Linked DNA regions of Canis lupus familiaris. The protein of the gene in region 1 interacts with the protein of each later gene in a biochemical or structural test. Links are inferred from orthologs where the notes say so. Each region holds a gene or a part of one and is shown on either strand. Other genes may lie near its edges.

What was found. The genes of interacting proteins can lie anywhere in the genome.
Region 2: of the proteins of HTRA2 (region 1) and CSN2, one has a biochemical effect on the other in vitro, tested with the Homo sapiens proteins (2 studies listed by BioGRID). The link is inferred for Canis lupus familiaris from reciprocal best matches to the Homo sapiens genes HTRA2 and CSN2.

What each region holds. Positions count from the first base shown.
Region 1 is NC_049238.1:49,109,758-49,117,041, reverse strand, and holds HTRA2 (serine protease HTRA2, mitochondrial), read left to right. Parts: upstream 1-2,619; 5' UTR 2,620-2,622; coding exon 2,623-3,128; intron 3,129-3,231; coding exon 3,232-3,436; intron 3,437-3,524; coding exon 3,525-3,719; intron 3,720-3,960; coding exon 3,961-3,993; intron 3,994-4,231; coding exon 4,232-4,337; intron 4,338-4,484; coding exon 4,485-4,554; intron 4,555-5,239; coding exon 5,240-5,335; intron 5,336-5,442; coding exon 5,443-5,608; 3' UTR 5,609-5,613; downstream 5,614-7,284. Other genes in the region: LOXL3 (lysyl oxidase homolog 3), read right to left, coding at 6,217-6,290, 6,479-6,590, 6,697-6,833, 6,914-7,029, 7,123-7,284.
Region 2 is NC_049234.1:60,456,224-60,463,690, reverse strand, and holds the start of CSN2 (beta-casein precursor), read left to right. Parts: upstream 1-3,343; 5' UTR 3,344-3,394; intron 3,395-5,281; 5' UTR 5,282-5,293; coding exon 5,294-5,344; intron 5,345-6,084; coding exon 6,085-6,111; intron 6,112-6,214; coding exon 6,215-6,241; intron 6,242-7,301; coding exon 7,302-7,325; intron 7,326-7,421; coding exon 7,422-7,466; intron 7,467-7,467. UniProt on the Homo sapiens protein: Important role in determination of the surface properties of the casein micelles.

The DNA.
Region 1 (7,284 bases):
GAAAAGGGAAGAGAGAAGAACGGAGTCTGTTTCCCTGCTCACCTTCTCCCCTCACCACCCACTTTTCCTCTCTGTGCCTGTCTCCTGTGTGAGGCTACCCTTTCCCATACCCAGGTCTCTCTGGATGACGCCCAGTGGCACATGGGGTAAAACCTCCTTGACTCTCTGAGCCAGAGCTGCCAGCTGCACATCAGGAGAAGGGCCAGGGGAGGGAGGGAAAGAAGACTGGGCTGCAAAAAAGAAATCCGAAACATGGTGAGTGGAGAACTGGGAGGAAGGAGAAGCTGACTAGCACAGGAATAGGAAGGGAATCACAACAGGCTGAGAAAACCCAAACAACTTTGTGTACAGAGACCACATACCTGACTGAGGGCGCAATCTGGGGTGTCTTTGTCGTTTCATGTGCTCTGCTTTGTCTGCTGGAGTGAGTCGTGTCCCTGTCTGGCCTAATTCTTTGGCCACCAGCTAGGGAGAATTAGAAGGTTGGAACTGTCAAGGTCTCAAGACTTCCTCCTCCTACCCTTAAGGAAAAAACCCACCTCACCCTGCCTGTGTACCCTACCACCTGTTGTACACGGAGAGCAAACTCCTCATTCCCCTCTCCAAGCTGGCGATGAACAGGCGGGAGCCACCTGAAAAAAAAGAAATTCCAGGACCATGTTGAGTGTGCCTGGGTTAGAGGCTTTCACCCTCTCCCCCACTTTGATACTTATTCATGGAACAGTTGTGATCACAGTGGAGAGATAGTAAACACTTTGTATTGCTTCTGCGATAGAACCGTGATACTAAAAGATCTACAAATGAACAGGGAAGAGGCAACTTCCCTGACCCTGAGGTGAGTTCCTCCCAGGCACCAAAAAGTAAAGGCAGTTAATACCTTACTTGATACACCGTGAAAGGGACGAAGAGTGACCACAGCAGTTCTGAGACCCAGGAGGCATCAGACACCGTCTAGAGGGAGGGCATGAAGTGAGGTCTAAGCCTAGGCCAGCAGTGAGAAACTTACCCTCCAAGCCCCAGAGATTCCCTGTTCAACACACACTCACCACAGAGACTAGGGGTCTCTGGACTCGCAGGGTAAGAGGTTGTACCACATCCTGAATAGAAAATGGCCAGGAACTGGAAGACGGAAGAGACAGTAGGATGGGATTCTAGCCAGCCTGTCAGCACCTGACTCAGAACAGAAAACTGTTAAACTGCACGAGTAGGTAAATAAAGAATAAAGAGATATAAGGGGAAAGAACTAAGAGCAAACAGAAAAGATATCAACTAGGACGGAGAAGGTAGGGCTGAAAATTGTGAAAAATCAAGGGCCCCCAAGCCTGACCACCTACCCAGCTGGAGACCGATACCTGTGCTCACCCACCTGAAGCGCAGGAGCCCCTCCCGGCCATTGGTGGCCTCTTCCTCAGGGAATAGCAGCAGAGGGGTGGGGGGAAGCCTCGTGGAAGCACAGAATCTCTTGAGTGACTCCACCAACTCCCCCCGCCCATCCATCTCCATGAAGCCCCGAGACCAGCACACAAAACTTGGGGGACTATTGAGTAGAGGCTGGGAATAGAGAAGAGAGAAAGCAAGAAAAGAATATTGGGAAGTGAGAAAAACTGACATCTAGGGTACAGAAGCGGGATTGGGGGTAAGCCTCAGTATTTCCCAGTGGTCCCCAAGGGAAACCCGGGCGGGCTAAGGGGAGCCTCCAGCTGGGCCCCAGGGAACCGCCCCGTAGAGCTCTCGGCTTTGCCCCCCACTCACGGTGCTACAGCTGGTGAGCAAGTTGACTATGTTATGGTCGAAAGGTGTCACGTGGTTGGAAATGAGGACCCTGACGCGGTGATCCCGGAGTCCGGAGTTCTCCTGCCGGGCCACGAGCCCCAGCACCGCACACATGGTCCGCACCACGAACCTGGGGACGCGGGCAGTGGTGACTCCACGGCCTCCGGCCGGGCCCAGCCCAGCCCTCCCCGGGACCCCCAGGCCGTTACCTGCGAAGGACACTGTCCGGTAGAGCGCAGCTGACCAGGAAGACGTGGATCCCAAGAAAGAGGCGCAGGACAAGGAGGCAGAACCCGACGGGAGCATAGAGCAGCAGCGCGAGGAGCAGGAAGCCGTCACCCGGGAGCCTGGGGGCGAAAGGCGGGGTGATCGGGCGCCGGAGGCCGAGTGCACGCGGGAGCCGGCCTCTTCCCGCCAGGGCTCTTACCGGTGAGAGTCGAAGAGCCGCTCCGGCCCCAGCGCCGGGGAAGGATCCATCGCGGGGGCTTTAGAGCTCTCCGGCCGCCGCCGCCATCTTCGCGCCCGGCCGCAGGGGCTCCTGGGAAGGCGGAGTCTTCGGGCATCCGCCCAGGGTGCGGGCACCCGAAATCTTGAGGCGCCCCGGAAGGGCTAGCGGTCCCAGCATGCCTCGCGGCCCTTGGGCCACCTAGGAACTCGCGTCCCGCGGGGACCACAATTCCCGGCATTCCTGGGGCGGGGGCGGAGTCGGCCTCCCGGAATCCTGGGTCCCGGCGTGCACTTCTGGAGGACTTCAGGTCCCGGCGTGCCCCGCGTCCCTCCGTCCGCCACCTCGCGTCCAGGGCGCCGCCTCTGTGTAGGGCGGGCGAGGAGGCAGTCGAGGCGGAGCTGATGGCTGCACTGAGGGCGGGGCGGGGTGCAGCCTGGAACCTCCGGGGATGGCGGGCTTTGGGGGGGGTTCACTCGGGGAAGGGACCCCTGCTGACCCCTGACCTCCGGGCCTTGCTGACGTCAGGAATTCCTGACCCCCGGGCCCGAGTGACTTATGGGACCCCCAGCCTCCGGGCCCGGTGGTCTGTGGGGGTCCCTGAACCACGGACGTGTCTGACGTCGAGGACTTCGGATTCCCGAGCATGGCTGGCTGTAGGGACCCCAGATCCCAGGACCCAGGAGGGCTCAGGGACCCCTGGAACCCGTCCGCGTATATGGCTGGCGGTGGCGCTGGGCGCTGGGGGGGCAGTGCTGTTGTTACTGTGGGGCGGGGGTCGGGGTCCCCCAGCGGTCCTCGCCTCGGTCCTTGGCTCGCCGCCCAGCTCTCCCCGGAGCCAGTACAACTTCATCGCAGACGTGGTGGAGAAGACAGCACCTGCCGTGGTTTATATCGAGATCTTGGGCCGGTAACGGTGGGGAAGGCAGGAGGCACCAAGCCGCGGGCTAGAGGGCGGAGGAGCCGGGGTGTGAGCCTCCCTGCATCCTTGCTTCTCACCCCCACCCCTCCAGGCACCCTTTCTCCGGCCGCGAAGTCCCTATCTCGAATGGCTCAGGATTCGTGGTGGCTGCCGACGGGCTCATCGTAACCAACGCTCATGTGGTGGCAGATCGGCGCCGGGTCCGTGTGAGGCTGCTCAGCGGCGACACATATGAGGCCGTGGTCACAGCTGTGGATCCTGTGGCAGACATTGCGACGCTAAGGATTCAGACTAAGGTGGGGGCTGAGCAGGCTGGGTCTGGTTGGGGCTGTGAATTTGCTCACATCTTCAGATGACAGGTCTCTTATACCCATTCTCTCTCAGGAGCCTCTCCCCACACTACCCCTGGGACGCTCAGCTGATGTCCGGCAAGGGGAGTTTGTTGTTGCCATGGGAAGTCCCTTTGCACTGCAGAACACGATCACTTCTGGCATTGTCAGCTCTGCTCAGCGTCCAGCCAGAGACCTGGGCCTCCCCCAAACCAATGTGGAATACATCCAGACTGATGCAGCTATTGATGTGCGTTCTGATATAAGAGAAATGACAAACTAGGTTGGGGGTTGGGGGAAAGGCTGTGTGGTACAGGCACCAACTGTTGATAGATGGCGGATGAGCCTGTATACAGAGGTTGGGCTGCAAATATGTGGCCACTCAGGTTGGGCTGGGAAAGGAGAGAATTTGGAAAAAGTGCCTACATCCTGGTCATGCCTCCAGGCATAGAGTTCCTGGATCTCTTCCATATTTTCTCCTTGTCCTGCAGTTTGGAAACTCTGGAGGTCCACTGGTTAACCTGGTGAGTGGGACATCCTTCTTTCCAAGAATCCCTGCCCCAGGTCAGTGTGAGAATGGGTGTGCTTCCTCTAATTCAACGATGTTTGGTCAAGTTTCTAAGCAGCCTCCTGTTGGCTATCTCCCAAAATCCAACCAGGTCTCCCCAGCCTGCTCCCTCATTCTCCCTGCTACTCTTGTTCAGGTATCCCCTCCTCCTACTATGTTTCTGGGCTAGGGATTAGTGGGCTCTGTTCCTGCAGGATGGGGAGGTGATTGGAGTGAATACCATGAAGGTCACAGCTGGAATCTCCTTTGCCATCCCTTCTGATCGCCTTCGAGAGTTTCTGCATCGTGGGGAAAAGAAGAGTGAGCCTGGCTTAGGGGGGAAGAAATTACTTTGAGTGGTGGGAAGGGCATTCATTGTGCTTTACTGGAGAGGGGTTGTCTACTGGGAGGAAAGGGAGGGGAAGGAAGGATGTAACTGGGTGGGGCTCATTTGTCCCTCTATCACAGATTCCTGGTTTGGAATCAGTGGGTCCCAGCGCCGCTACATTGGAGTGATGATGCTGACCCTGACTCCCAGGTACGAGCTTTGGGGGTAGTGACCTGTAGGACCACCAGTATATTCAGTGGTGGGCAAGTGGCACTTCTGTTGGGCTTTGTTCTCAGTTTTATCTTTATCTAAGATAAGTTGCCCCACACTAGGAGCTATCAGAAGAGCTATTCTCATGATCTTGACTTTCTCACTCCAATCCCTCTTGTACACCTGCTACCAGATTGATTTCATCCTGTTACTGCTTTGGTTTAAAAACTTCAATCCATTAGCCCGGTGCTTAGAGGCCATTTTCCATTTGTCTCCAATTTAACCTTTTAGATCTGGCTTCTTACAAGAATATATTCTGTTCCAGCTGACCTGGATTTCCTACTCCTATGGTTTTATTTATATTGCTCTTGTTTTATATAGTTAAATACCAGAACCATTTTATGCTCAGCTTATGTTCTACTCTCTCAAAGTTTCTCTTAGAATTCTAGAATGACATTAGTGCTATTGATTTAATATGATGTATCACTTGGAATGAGTTACCTTTTATACACATGTCCCACTTCCTAACTTTGAAAAGGCAGAAAGTGAATTGCCTTTGTATCCGGAGTATCTAGTGCATGCCCTTGTCCATGCAGTTGTCGGTGTGTTGATGAGAGATTTGAGGTGAACCCAAGATGGGGAGAGTGCCTTGGTGCTGTTAACAGAGTGATCTGTGTCCTTTTAGCATCCTTGCTGAACTACAGCTTCGAGAACCAAGCTTTCCTGATGTTCAGCATGGTGTACTCATCCATAAGGTCATCCTGGACTCCCCTGCACATCGGTGAGGAAGAGACTGCATTGTGAGGTGGGGATGGGTGACGTATGCATGTGCCCTTGAACCGGGCTGTCTATCCCCTCCTTTCTCTTTCTGTCTGTCTTTCACCATAGGGCTGGTCTACGGCCAGGTGATGTGATCTTGGCTATTGGGGAGCAGCTGGTACAAAACGCTGAAGATATTTACGAAGCTGTTCGGACCCAATCGCAGCTGGCAGTGCGCATCCGGCGAGGACCAGAAACATTGACCTTATATGTGACCCCTGAAGTCACAGAATGAGTGGGTCAGCAGGAGTATGAGGCTCTTGCTCTGATTTCCACCTTGCTTTCCTGGCCTAGGCTCTGAGGGTACCTGGACAGAGGATTAAATGAACCAGTGGGGGGCAGGTCCCTCCAACCACCAGCACCAATCCCTGGGCTCTGAGGAATCATAAAAATGCTTTTTATATAAAATAAAATTATACCTAGCATCATGTTATAATCAAAAATAAGGGGGGAGGGGGTACCAATCTTTTCCCCCACAAAAAGGCTAGAGGTAAAGCTGTATCCCCCCTGAACTGAGGGGAGATACTGGAGCTGACCATTCTGACCTCCCTATTCAAGAAAACCAGCTGCTGCTGTCTGTCCTTGGCAGTTCATTGGGTGCTGCTCTTTGCAGTGTGCTTGGCTCGGTGCTGGGCCCGGGAGCAAAAATTCCCCATGCTTGGCAGCTGGCCTGAGAAGGAGGGCGATAACCTCGGCCTGACAGTTCCACATCCATAGTGTGCACTGGATGAGTAGCCAGCCCACCGATGTCAGGGGTCCCTTGGTAAGCTCCTGAGGTAATGGCAGCCTCAGACCCCTGCCCTCAGGGGCCAGTGGTGGTTTGCAGAAGAGGGTGGCAGTGCCTCAGATGATCTGGTTGCTGGTCTGGCCAGGGTAGCGCTCAAACTTCCTGTTGGCCTCTTCACTGAAGGCGTCACCTGCGAGGTGAATAGGCGGGTTAGGTGGGGGAGCAGACCCATTGTGGGGAAGGGTGGTGAGAAGCTGAGGGGCTGGGAGATGCAGAGGCAGGTGGGAGGACACAGAACCAATGTAGGAGGAAGAGAGTGAGTGAATGAAGGCCTTTTCCTCCCACCCTGGTCTCTCTGGGTTGCCCTCCCCCACACACCGATGTGGCAGTTGTGCACCCAGATGCGGTGCCCGTCATATTTGCAGTTACACTTCATTGCGTTGTTGGTGAAGTCACTTTCTGCTACTTCAAAATTGGGGTTGATGACCACCTGTGAGTGGGAGAAAGGCAATGTGACCAGTTGTACTCCTCAGATCCAGAGGTGCCCTTAACAAACCTTCCTCCCATTTGCCAGCTGGATGTCAGTCTCCCAGCACCTGCAGAATGTAGTTTCCTGGCTTCACATCTGTGATGTCAATCCACTGGCAGTCGATGTCATGGCGGTAGAGGTCCCAGCAACCCACGGTAATGCCTTGCTCTCCAAAGTTGGCACACTCATACCTCTTGGAGACATCTGAGAGGGAATGGCACATGTCAGTGTGAGGCAAGGCTGGTGGGACGGAGATACCGGAGTCCTTTTGAAGCCCAACTCACCCTCCTGACATTCAGTGTCTTCCAGACAGAAACTAGCTTTGTGGCCTTCAGCCACCTTGGTGCCATTGGGAGTCAAGATATCATAGTGAGTGAAGATGTCCATACTGTGGTAATGCCTGTGGGGACAAGGGAACCCCTGTTTCCTTCCCTACCCCCAGCAGGCTTTGCCCCATCTCCAGCGATCTTGCCCTTCTACTTGACCCTCTCACCCGTGACACTCATGCCACACCCAGGAGTGGCGCCCAGCCTTGGGCCTGAAGTCAGCTCGTCCCAGGTTGTGGATCTGAGAGGAGAATCGGAGGAGACGCCTGTGGCCATAAGGCCAGTTGGCTGAGCGGGCCGAGCGGGCCAGACAGTTTTCTTCTGCGGCA
Region 2 (7,467 bases), on another chromosome or scaffold:
GATATGTATGAATGCAAGTTACATAATCATTATGCTAATACCCTTCTTGTTTACTTGTAAAGGGCATCTATCTGTGCTTAAGGCCTGAATATATCTACTATCAGTAATGAGAAAAAAAGAACATTGTAAAAATAAGTAGCTTTATACACAATTAGACAATTATATTATGAACATCAACCACTAAGGAAGTAAAGAAATTTGAGGACTGCTTTTCTAAGTAGGTACATATTAAGTGCTTTTGAGGTTTGCCGCAGACTCTATATTGTAGCACTTCTGGCAAATCCTGCTCCTCTCTGCGCTTCTGTTTCCTGTCTTCCTTCCATCTTCTGCTCTTTCACAAGCATTAGCTGATAAACTTTGACTTACTGCAAAAGATATGAACCCAAACCTGAGCAATCCCGTATTAATAAAAGTGTACAGCTAGCATTCGTTCTCTAGAAGTAGGTACTCTCTTACTGTTATCTCCAACCTAAAACCCTTCAACAAATCCCCATTGTCTACAGAATAGATAATAGGTAATATCTAGATGATATTAGATATCAAATTGTTTTCTTTACCCAAGTAGATGTATGGCAAGATGGTTGCAGTATAATATCAATAGGTCAAGAGTATTGTTTGGGTGAAGGGGGGGCGTTGATTGTGTTTGGGCTGAAATGACTAACCACCAAGTATTGGTTGAGCTAGGAAGGCAGAGAGGCCAGTAGTTGAGTAGTAATAAACCAAAACACTAAAAAGGGTTTGAATGAATGTATTACTGATATGGATACTTTTGTTCATTTTTAATTTTCACATTAACCAGAATTTTCTTCTTTTTTAAATATCCCAAACCCATAACCGCTTGCCTCACTGTCTGTTGAGAACCACATCCTAAAATTAAGATGAACCACATCTTAAAATTAAAATTAACCACATCTAAAAATTAAAATCATTTAATTTGAAATTTTTTGCCCTATATTTCAAAGTATGTATTATATTGACTTCTTTTCCGCTTCTTCTGTGTCAGGAAAACTGGTGCATTTTGTGCAGGCCTAATTCTTTTGGCTGTGGCCCCAAATCTATCAGAATTTGCTTCATCAATTTATTCTCACACCTTTGGTGTGTTTCAGCTTTCTCACCATTGATCTCTTTATTTTGAACCACAAACCTTGATCCTAAAACTACCTTCCTGTGTTTCTGGTTGTCCCTATTGTTTTAGATACCATTCCACAGGTGTCTTTACTTCCTCTTCTAAAATCTCAGAAGAGTAATGTTGCTTTGAATTCCTCCCACATTACTTGCTTTTTAACCACTTGCAGTGCATCCCAATGGTTTCAATGATAATGACTCTCTGTGTCCAAAAACCTCCTCCTTGTTTCCACCTTAGTTCCACCTGTGTGGCATTTTCCTCTTAATTCCACTTGTTTCTTCTAGCTATTTCCTCCCATGGCTTCCATGATTTTCAGTCTCTTCTCCTCGATACTTTGTATTTCTCCTATTTGCTTTTGTTCTACCAGCCCCTGAATAACAGGGAGCGCTTGAGTTCTAGTCTTAGACAATTTCTTTTCTCACTTGCACACTTTCCCTAGGGAAGTTCATTTATTCCTTTGTCAGGAAAAAAATTTCTATAACGTACTTATGACTACTCTAAGCATCACATTTAAGTGGCAAAGCCTTCTGGATACCTTCAAACTTACCGTATACAAGATTTAAGCCTTTCTAATTTCAGCCTGGCTTCTTATCTTGGTTTACAACATGATTAACTTTTCAAAACCCAGGCATATGTTATTCATTCATTTCCCTGATTTCTTGCATTTCTCATATTTTAATGACATATTTGTCTTCTCAGTGCTTAAGATGCCCAGTACCATCTTTCTAGTTGATGTCATCATAATGTCTGTCTTCAACTACTATAGTATGTTACTAACATGTTACTATAATAGCTCCTTTACTAGGCTACCCTAAGATAGTGTCATAAAGTCATAAAATTCAAGAAATTTCACAATCCCTCCTTCTTTCAAATCTCTAGTATCTTTCCTTATTTCCAATGAACTATGTCACCCTGCATAATTGAAATTCAAAGGCATTATGATCTGACTCCATCAAACCCTTGCAATAGTAGTTTTATACTCTCTGCCTTCTACATATCCTGAAGTACAAATCCCACCAAATGTGGTATTTTTCTCTTCAATTCCTCTTTCCTTCAGCCAAAATACTTTATTCACATTTTATCATTTCTTAAAATACTACTTATTCTTTTCAGGTCTAACTAAAAGCACAGCTCTTTAATAACCAATTCCCCTGCCCACACTCATCACCAATGCCCCACTCCTCCAATTCAAGCATAATTAAATCCTACACATTTAAGCACAAATGCTACATTAAGAACAAGTTTTATAACAGAGTTTATAAAAGGAGTTAAAACATGGACACTGCATATGAACAAACAGAAATACATGTAGTCAGACAGATCTAGTTTTAAGTGGTATCTTTGCAATTAACGAAAATATGATTTGAGCAAGTTACTCAATCTCTTGTCTCAATTTCTTCAACCAAAATATGGAAAGGACAACTACCTCATGATATTTTTGTAAAGATTATACAAGATAATGTCTGTAAAACACATAGTGCCTGGAATAGGGGTATAGTAAGCATAAAAAATAAAGGTTATTATGCCTGAAATAGAAAAAGGTAATATTTATCAGGTAAATAAGTCTGCATGACATTTTACAAAATTTTTGTTACAGATTTACCAAGAATTTTCACTGTACCAGCTATCCAGATAGATTCCTTTTCTAAGATGTTTCATTACAGAGGAAAATTTATTCCTCTTGTGTACACAATGTTGAAGTGAGAAATTTATTCTTCCCAAATCAAGTAGTTCTGGGAGCTTAGCAGTTAGCCTTACATGACTAAACTATCATCATGGACTTGTTATCTTGTTATTTTCTCCACTGTAGCATGAAACACCAACAACTGCTTAGGTTGGCGTGAAGTTGTGGCCTCTGTGAAGTCCCTCGTATGTCTGATATTCATATAGAAATCCCCTCACAGTTAATATCTTGAGGAGCCACGAGGGCTGAAGAGACTTAACTGCATCCACAATAAGTTGTGGATTGGGCCAGAGCCTCAATGTCTTCCAGTTATTAGACAATTACATTTCCTGGACAGATTTCCTTTATTGGCTTGTGATTTGCTTTCTTGTTAAAATGCTCCTCAGAATTTCTGGGGACAGATAATAGGCAGAAATCATATTCTAATCATGTGGACCTCTTGGAATTGAAGCTGACCGTTGATTTTATCTCAAACCGCAAAATTAGCATACCACCAAATACAGTATATAAACCACCACAAAAGCAGACAGACCATCATCCACTTAGCTTCCCCTTCACTTTCTGTACTCCACCTTGGAAAAAAGGTAAGAATTTCATATATAAATTTTATGTATTCTCTCTTCACTTTTATTTCAACTAGGCTAAATTATATGAAGAAAATAATTGCTTAAAATAGGATCTTTGAAATAAGAGTATTTAAAATAGCACTGACACTATTTTCAATACCTAGGTTAAAAAAATAGAAAGATCTAAGAACATTTGATAAAAATTATGAGTGCAAATGTTTTATGAGTCTAAAAAATGTAGTAATAATGATAACCATTTTTAATACAAAGCCAATGAATAAGCTATATTAAAAAATCTACTTCTTGAATTAATAAATCTTCCAAGTTGGTTAAACATACTAAAGCAATAAAAGAAAATATACTTAAATTGTTGGTTTGGGATATGAATAATTAATGGGAAACTTTTACCCAAAAGTAGTTTTAGAGGTAGCATATTGAGTCAAGAAACTGCAGAATTTGTTTGGGGATATGCACTACTTGAAATGTTTATAAATATTTTTTCAGAAATATGTATTCAAATTTATTTAGTGTATCCAACCTCCCCCTTTATCATTTGGTTTATAATAGCTCAAAATATTGTTAAAATAGACATAAAATACAGAATTAAGTTAAAGGGAAAATGTTTTTACTTTGGAAAAAAATTCCAAAAAAAGAAAAAAAGATGATACAGAGATGACTTGAAACTAAAGCAAAAGAAAGAGAAGATTTGAAAGAAAGAATACTATAGAATACATTGGTAAAAAATGAGGTTCTGGCTAAAAAAATTAATATATAAAATGCTAATTAGAAAATATAGAAAATGAAATAAGATTCTTCCTACACATTATGATCTCTAATAGAATGCTATATTCTTTTTTGGGGGTCCTGACAATGAGAAATTATTTGGAAACTTCTGAAGCTCTTAGGCAAAGTAAAATTAAAGTTTATATAGTACCCATGAGAAAGATCTAGAAAAGAAAATCTTTTTCTGAAGTAAGAATAATTTTCAGACTTCAAATATTGGAAGGGATATTTTGCAGATGAATTAGGGACTTTTTTCATGAGACATTTTTAGTTTAGAAATTTGTTTAAATATCTGAGATTGAAGATTGTATGCCAAATGATATTAGTGGTACAAACATTATTTTGTACAAGCAATTACAGAAATGCAACAAAATCAAGCATTTAGTACATTTTGGTTAGAAACTTTAACATATATATCATGTTATACTACAAGAAGAGGTTGTTTGAAGTGGGGATTGGGCAAGGGGACCAGACACTTTGGTAAATCATCAAGAAATCAGAAAAAAAAATACAGTGTACAATCTCTAAAGTTATGTGCACAAAAGAGAGGAGGCATTATTATATGGAAATGACTAAACAAATATTCATGGAAACCATTGGTTTAGTAAAAAGAAAAAAAAAGATAAAAGAAAATATAATCTGCATATACATTTTCTTTGATCAGTTACCTCCTGATAGAACTGAGGCTTTATCAAGGCTGAGACATTTGTTTGCTGCTATCAACCCAGTACCTAGATAGTGTCTGGCAATAAAAGATGTTAAATAAATATTTTTGAACAAATGAATCAATTAGTAAATATTTCTGTAAATATTTATAACTTTTTTTCTGTCCTTCCAAAAACCCAACTATAGTGCTGTGAATGAGATGAAAAAGAGTGAGGTAGGGTAATGGTAATGGATGAAAAAATATGAATGGTATGAAAATGACATGTAAGAGTAAAGAGCCACAGTAGATTTTGACCTTGCCCGTATGATAAAGCATCTATTAGTATTTTTTTCTAAAATACAGGGTTTTTTTTATTACATATTATCTTTAGTTTCTTTAAAAGGAAAGTAATCCTAGCTAAATTAAGAAAATAGCTTGACCAAGGTATTACCATTCTTCCATTTCCTCATTGACAGGACTTGATAACCATGAAGGTTTTCATCCTTGCCTGCCTTGTGGCTCTTGCTCTTGCAAGAGAGGTAAGCAAATGTCTAATTAGGATAGAATGGAGTATCTACCTATGTGGAGAGAAGAATATCCTCAACATTTTTAAAGTACAAATAAAGCAGAATTTCAACAGATTTATTTTGACTTCCTGGAAAATGATTTGCATGACACATTATTTTGACAGTGTGCAATAGGAGCACAGATTTGGGTCAAATGGTATACAGTGGTATATACTGTGCTATCAGTCCCAAAAAGAAAAGCAAATGGACAGATAAGCAAACAGACAAAACAAAAATAAATGGATATAAACATGACAATAATAATATTGCACAAATATGATTGCAGGCATGTGCACCCTAGATAAATATATCTTATTCCAGTAATAAAATATATGTATCTTTACCTTATGGCCCTGGGCCCAATTCTACCTGTGTTTGTCCAAAGACATTTAGAGAGAGGATGGAGTATCACACGATAATCATAATCATAAATATATTTGTAATAATAATAAACTGTTTAAAACAAATTATAATAATTTTTTTCTATTAGCCATTAAAAACGTTTATTCACATAAGAAGAAAATATATCAATAAAGTTACTAAATATAAAAGACATAAAAATAACTACCTTTCAAGTCTTTCAATATAGCATTTTTTATTTCTCAAGTTTGTGAAACACATAGCTCTGCATAAAGAAGATAAAAATCATATAGGGAAAATGTTTAAGAATGAGTTAACCATGGAAACTAGAATGGTATTTTTTTCTGTTACAGAAGGAAGAACTCACTCTATCCAATGAGGTAGGATATTTTTATTCACAAAAAATTTCCAACCATAAAATATTAACATTCTTCAATGATCTAGGAAAAGCTGGTTGCTGATAGATTTGTTTTTTCTTTACAGACTGTGGAAAGCCTTTCAAGCAGTGAGGTAAGAAAATGTTTTCAGAGGCAATTCCCCAGTTTGAGAAGAGTAAAATGCTGTGCTATCTTTCTATTGTGTTACATTAGGACAATTACTTCAATGCAGCTCTGTTTGACATGTTTTGATGTAAATTTCCATTGTATATGTTTTGTTTCCATTGCATGTGCATAAAGATAGAATAAATATCTGGTGAATTCACTATTTTAGCACTTTCTAAATTGTCTCACTACTTGAAATTGTCATCGTGACCCCCTCTTTTTTTTTTTTTTAATGTACTGTACAGTCCTGTTTTCTGTCTTGAGCTGTTTTTACCCTGGCCTCATTTCCCTATTCTGATATTTATTGGGCACTGTCTGTGGGTCAGACATTGAATAGGAGCTGTGGTACAAAGGGAAAAGAGGGATGCCCAGAGTAAAGAGCTTGCAATATAATACGTGAGCAGACATGCAAATAGACACCTTTTATAATTACAATAGTCACTTTAGTAAATAAGAGATGGTGAGAGGTAGTATATAGTCTTAATCTGCCTGGGAGAATAAGGTAGGTATTTACCTTGGCACCACTCTTTATGGATATGTTATTACCTGTTAGTTAAATAGTATGTCAGTATACTTTGCCTCTCTACAAGGTTATCAGACCCTTAAGAGAGGTATTTATTTCTTATAATTAATTTGAAGTGTAAACACAGTAAGTAAACTAAGAATGATTAAAAGAATTAAAAGATAAAATTCATATTATCAACAAATATTATTCTTTAGAATCAGATAGAGTATAAGTAATCATTTGTTGACCTAGGAAGATAGCATGGTGATAGAAATTAACATCTATTAAATACTTCTTTTTGTTACTGTGTTCACTATTTTCTTATAAAACTGCATTCATTTTTCTTTTATATGATAAGTTTATGCAGAACAGTGCAACATATAAGTTTCAGCAATTATCCTGAGTTTAGAATATCATCAAAGTGTCCACATTAACCTATTACATGCCTTCATTTCCTGACTTATATTGATAAATAAGAAGCATTCATAAAACTAAACCTAATTTTATTTTTATTTTTCTTAAGGAATCTATTACACACATCAACAAGGTAACATCTTTGTATTTAAATGTACTTATTTTCAAAATTTCCTACGTTTAATTTTTATAGATGGTAACATTTCTTTACATGTGATTTGGTTTTTAGCAGAAACTTGAGAATTTTAAACACGAGGAGCAACAGCAAAGAGAGG